Linked DNA regions of Xenopus tropicalis. The protein of the gene in region 2 interacts with the protein of the main gene of each other region in a pairwise test. Links are inferred from orthologs where the notes say so. Each region holds a gene or a part of one and is shown on either strand. Other genes may lie near its edges.

What was found.
Region 1: the proteins of insr (region 2) and mad2l1 interact in binary tests that used the Homo sapiens proteins (3 or more experiments, as listed by UniProt). The link is inferred for Xenopus tropicalis from reciprocal best matches to the Homo sapiens genes INSR and MAD2L1.

What each region holds. Positions count from the first base shown.
Region 1 is NC_030677.2:71,054,905-71,058,664, reverse strand, and holds the start of mad2l1 (mitotic spindle assembly checkpoint protein MAD2A), read left to right. Parts: upstream 1-892; 5' UTR 893-938; coding exon 939-1,008; intron 1,009-2,572; coding exon 2,573-2,719; intron 2,720-3,760. UniProt on the Homo sapiens protein: Component of the spindle-assembly checkpoint that prevents the onset of anaphase until all chromosomes are properly aligned at the metaphase plate.
Region 2 is NC_030677.2:111,775,937-111,778,583, reverse strand, and holds part of insr (insulin receptor), read left to right. Parts: intron 1-84; coding exon 85-195; intron 196-480; coding exon 481-640; intron 641-1,494; coding exon 1,495-1,624; intron 1,625-1,814; coding exon 1,815-1,949; intron 1,950-2,647. UniProt on the Homo sapiens protein: Receptor tyrosine kinase which mediates the pleiotropic actions of insulin.

The sequences.
Region 1 (3,760 bases), about 41 Mb from region 2:
TGGTGTAAAAAGACAGAGACGACCAGGAACGTGCAGAAACCAGCAAACAAAAATGTAGCAAAGAAATGTTCCCACAGCACTGCCTGTCAGGAGTATGCATGATCATGGGTCCCTGCCCCCCAGGCATAATGTCGCCACCTGGCCAGTATTTTACCAGCCTTGATACCAGGCCAAATGGGTAGGAATATTATTTTTTTTACCAAACAGTGGCACTGGTAACCCAACCCATGATCCAAAAACAGAAGAGCAGGGTAATAGCTCCCTATGAAATTGCCCATAGGTGGGTATGTGACAGGGAACTGCATGCTCCAACGGGATCGAGAACGATGTGAATTTTAAAGTCATAAATGTATTTTCCAGTGCCCTAAGTGTGTATACGTTTGAAATAAAATTTCTGCATAATTTGTTGTTCCTGTATGCTATATCGTAAAAATGTTAAAGTTATATACATCCAAGTCCAACGCGCTCCACGCCCACTAATATGAGCCGTACCTCTTACAAATCACAATACCATGTTCTAAATATATCTGCGGAAGACGTCTACAGAACTGCGAACATATGCTCCATTTATTTAATATCACCGACAACTGCCCAAATATCGATAAACACTGCGCCAATAAACTAAACACGTAGCAAACGCAGATTCGATTCAGTTATTCTAGCTGCAAGCAAATTAGGAAAGCTAACTTTTGATTGGTTGATATGAGCTACACTATTACCGCAAATTTTAAGATTTGCCCTCAGTAATGATGGCGAACATACGACGTCACGCAGAACGCATCTTTCCGGCTGGCTTTTAATTGGACCACAGGCTGCACATGATGTGACAGTTGTCCAATCAGAGTACGAGTCCGCCGTTGGTTTGAAGTGGAAGGCGCGTTAGTACTATCAGGACCTGAAAACTTTTGGAACCAATTCAGTTTTACAAGAAGGGTCCGATGGCCGGTCAGCTAACACGTGAAGGGATTACCCTGAAGGGTAGCGCTGAAATCGTGTCGGAGTTTTTCTGTAAGTGGTTGGGGAGGGGAAGATAACCCTTATTGGTTGCAATAGCAGTAGCTAATAACTGAGCCTTTGGCATGGCTGATATGGGGACATGGATAGAAAACGCACTGACAATTGGACTCATGCAGTAAAGGAGGGACTACACGAAAATATTTTGCTGACAGTGTGTAAAAGTCCACCCCACTATCTGCTTGCTGAGTAAAGCTGCAGCTTTGGCCAGATAGAGCATGTGATTTGGAAGTCAGGCATTAATTGGTCTCCACTGAGCATAATATCCTCTTAGAGAGAGAGACTGGCACAATATGCTGCTTAAAATCGATATTTATTAAGAACTCAATACATCTTATTCAGAGAACAACAAAGCCCTATGTGTTTTTGTGTCCCATCTGGGCACTTCATCATAGGCCAAATCATTCCTGTTTGCATAATATCTTCTTAGAGAGAGACAGGTTGGCACAAAACCAGACTGGAGTAGAACTATACTGCTTAAAATTGCTATTTATTAAATATGTAATAGATCTGTTTCAAAGAACAACAAAGCTATGTGTTTTGTGCTCCATCTGGGCACTTAGTCATAGGCCAAATCGTTCCAGTGTGCATACTCCTGCTTCCAAAGATGGCAGCCACCAGCCCTGCTGCACAACTCTGCAATTAGACAACTGATATTGTGGTGGCCTGGATTTTGTAGACATTGGCAGTGATGCAGTTGAGGGGAGGGGAGCTGCTGTAGGTGGATACAATTTAAAAAAAAAAAAGAGTATGTGGGGGTTAGTGCTTCTTTAAAATTTTGAAAAACAGCAAGCACAAATTAACTTTTTTTTCTACAATGCTACATTTGTGTTGGCTGGCCAAGATCATGCTCCTTTTGTAAGGGGTGGCTATTTGCATACACTGTAACGCTACCAAGCAATTACTTGGCACTAGATTAAATAAAGTCAATTGAATCTCTGTATCTTAAGTGAACTAAGAAAAGTGTTAACAATAAAACTGGATAGGGTAGTTTTGTCACCAATATGGATTTATGCAACTTAGTTAGGATCAAGTCAAAACACTATTTTGAGGACATCCAGTATGGTGGCCACAATTAGTCACTCCTAACATAGAAGTGCCTTACAGCTTAAGAAAATAACTGTCAGTGAAAACCTTAGCTCTGTTGCAGTAAGGCTATACTTTGTGAGGTAAAAATACTTGTACCTTATGGAAACTAAGCTACACAAATCCATATTTGAGACCAAATGATCCTATGGGGTTTATTTAATGTATAAATAACTTTTGCAAACATATGGTATGATGATCCAAATGTCAGAAAGGTCCCTTATCCCAAATACCCTATGTCCAAAGCATTCTGGATGCTATACCTGTATTTTCACTGTAATAATAACCGTAGCTGCATAAATTCATATCTATAACAATCTAGTTGGGTTTATTTCATGTTTAAATGTTTTTCAGCAAAATCAATTATAGAAAAAAACCCTTACCCAGAAAACTACAGGTCCCAAAAATCAGGATATTAATCAGTCTGTTTTTGATCATATGTTAATTTTTGTTTGTTTTTTTTTCTCCTTAGTTTGTGGCATCAATAGTATTTTATATCAGCGTGGGATTTATCCATCAGAAACGTTCACACGTATCCAGAAGTATGGACTTACACTGCTACTCACTACAGACCCAGGGCTGAAAGAGTATTTAAATAAAGTTACCGATCAGCTTAAAGGTTCTTATTGGGTTTTATACATGATCATATCTTTATTTTTTTTATCTTTCTGTATGGTTTTGTTTTTGAATAGTTGTGGGTACCTTTCCATTTTCACTAACATATCCTAGATATGTCAAGGCTATATGTGAGAAAATATGGTATGTGTTAATTTGGGCCAGACTTTACTTCAACATACACATGCTCTTATTGTTAATGTGGTCTTAAGGGTAAGAATCAACAGAGCAAGTAACTCGCTCGAGAGAGATTTTTGCTATCGTGGGCTAGTCACCGTTGAAAAGGCTTTCCACTGGCAACAATAGGAAGCCCTTCGCGTTGCTTCGGTTTTCCTCCTCCTTGGTGCGACTTCAGAGCAGTTACATGCCCGCGATAGCAGAGATCTATCTTGGGCTAGTAACTCACTCCATGGGTTCTTACCCTTAAAGGAGAAAGAAAGGTAAGATCACTGAGGGGTGCCTCTGTTAGGAGAAAGCTGCACTGGCCCTGGGTACCTGAGAGAGCGATTCTCTTATGTCTTCTCACCACTTGCGCATGCACAGTTCTGTTGGCTTTGGGATCATAAAGAAAAAAATGACAAGAGGAATAAGATTGCTGGTGCAGGTTTCTCCTAACAGGAACAGCAGCCGAGGGTATAAGGTAAGCATTTACAGTCACTGGGGTGTGCCTAACGTTTTGGCACTCCCGGTGATTTTACCTTTCCTTCTCCTTTAAGCTATTAAAACAGAAATTGATGGGACATTTGGGTACAGGGGGTATTTGTGATCATCAGCTGATCAAATTTCAATCAATTTTTGTAAGGCAGTTGGTTTACTGTTAAACTGGACTATATTAGGTCATCTTTGTTAAAGCTGCCACACCATACTGAACCTTTTGAGTGGATGTTTATTAGAGATAAGTCTACAGTGGGAGGGTTTTTTTCTTTTCTTTTTTTTTTTTTTTCTAAATTTGAACATAGGAATGCATTTCCAATATAAGCTGCTTGTTTTTTGTGTCATTTTGAAAATGTGATACCCACCCAAGGATTTTAATAACTCTGTATTG
Region 2 (2,647 bases):
ATTTCTGTAAACCCATGTGCCTCCATGTAAACTTTTCATGGCATTGTTGACATTATAAAGTCTCACTGTTTTGCCCCTTTGCAGGTCCGTCTGCTTGGTGTGGTGTCCAAAGGTCAGCCAACACTTGTCATCATGGAGTTAATGACGCATGGGGATCTCAAAAGTTACCTGCGCTCACTGCGACCTGATGCAGAGGTAAGCATGCTATACAGGCTATACTAAACATTATAATTGGTTGTGGTGGTGTAAGAATGAGATGCACATTAAAGAGCTTATAAGATATATGAAGAGATGTGTGCTACAGAAAGGCAAATGGCATGTGTCACTTTGCTGTTATAGTGTGTCGCCCTGGGGCTGTCTCAAATTGGCAGTACGTTTACTTTAACATTAGAGAAAAAATGGTAGACAGCTATTAAAACAGCTAGGTACTCTAAATACTGCTACTAACTAGCAGTTCTCCTCTCACCCTTACATTTTCAGAATAACCCAGGACGTCCTGCTCCTACCCTTAAAGAAATGATCCAGATGGCAGCGGAAATTTCAGATGGCATGGCATATCTCAATGCTAAAAAGTTTGTACACAGGGATCTGGCTGCTAGGAACTGCATGGTTGCTGAAGATTATACTGTGAAAATTGGAGGTAAGTAAAATGTATGCTTTATGGAGTAATCTCCCTAGAACAACCCCAAAATATATTTTTTTAGAACTGACTGGCATCAGTATCTGATTAACTAGAAAAAGAGACTTGCCAACAAGCATGGATCAAAATAAGGGAAATGAGGGGCCATGGCTCTAGAACCCCAAAGCTTTGGGCTGCCTGGTCACAAAAGACCCTTAGATCAGGATTCAGATGAGTGTTAACTAAACCCAAAACTCACCATCTTACCCTGGCCTCAGTATGTAATGAGGGATAGGCACACCCTAACCTAAAACAAACAAACTGGAACAGCAAGGCTGGTTCTAGTAGGATGCTCCTGTGTCTTTATTTAGTGCAAACCATCTAATATTTTGGGGCATTTCCCTTCATCAAACATTGCATGGTTTGCACTAAAAATGCACTAGTTCACTAGTGTTAGCCAACATTTTGATGTTGAATTGTGACCCTATTTTGAATATTAAAATTTGGTGGCATTTGTTAGTGTCAACTTCTCTTTAACATCTACTGATACTAAAGGGGTGATTTACCAATGTTCAATTTTTTTGGTGCAAAAACTCAAATTCTAGTTTTGTAAATTTTATTTGAGAGTTTGTAGACCCGTTATAAATGTTGTATTTGATCATTTAATTTGATCGAGTTTTTTCTATTCACATTTTTTAGTAAATAAACAGACATTCAAGTTTGGTAAAATTTGAAGTTAATTTGAAGTGACAAAAACTCAAAAATGTATAAATAACCTCCCCGTATATAGCAGAATCTATAAACCAAATGCTTGTATTTGAAAGCCATTTTTTAATTTAATTTTTAGCTTCAATATTCACGTTTTTGCCTTTCAGATTTTGGAATGACACGAGATATCTATGAGACAGATTATTACCGAAAAGGGGGAAAGGGGCTGCTGCCTGTTAGATGGATGTCCCCTGAATCACTGAAAGATGGAGTGTTCACAACTTTCTCAGATGTCTGGTATGTTATCAGCATAATCAGTTAAGATCAGTTAAGAATAAAGTATATACTTTTTTGACCTCTTTTCTAATTTTCTATCCCCCCCATATTGCATACTTGTATATATTCAACAGTTGATACATTCACTTTATTTTCTGGTGCACAGTACTTATTTTCTAAAATGTGCATTTTTAACTCTCTCTTGTTTTAGGTCCTTTGGAGTTGTTTTATGGGAAATAACGAGTTTGGCAGAACAGCCATATCAGGGACTTTCTAATGAGCAGGTCCTGAAGTTTGTCATGGATGGAGGTTCACTTGACCAACCGGAGAATTGCCCTCCAAGGCTGTACGTATTAATGATAGAAGGGCAACATGTTGTTTAATTTAACATCAATGTTGCAGCCCAAGCTTTAGAGGAATTGCCAGTATCTAATTAGCTTCTCCTTTTCTTGATGTTGACATGTGACTCTTCATGGGCTTACTCTTCAATACCGTTGATACAAGATTGCAAGCACCATTAAAGTGCTAACAGAAAATCCTTAGGATATTTAGAAAATACTGTAAAGTACACATATATGCAGGGGGGAAAAATGATTGGCTACTGGGTACTGTATGGGTATAGAGGGCCCAAGCTGATCCTTATGGAAGCACAATTTTAATATATCTGAGCAAAGCTAATTATCTAAGTTTAAATTACATCTTGCTTGTGGGTCCAAAAACTTGTACTTTATAGAAAGATATAAAGTCAAGTAAATTTGAATTAAGGCGCTAAAAGGAAATGTTATCCTTTGAATTTATCCACTATTAATTACCAGTTAATAGGCAGTGAAGATAAGGATATTGTTGGTGTTAATAGATGTATTCCTTCTCTGTATATTTCACTGCCTACAAAAATAATTTTGTGGAATAATTTCCCTGTTGGAAGTCATAATTAAAAGAGAAAGAAAGGTAAAATCACTGGGGGTGCCAAAATGTTAGGTACCCCCAGTGACTGTAATCACTTACCTTATACCTCAGGTTGGTGTTCCTTGTTAGGAGAAAACC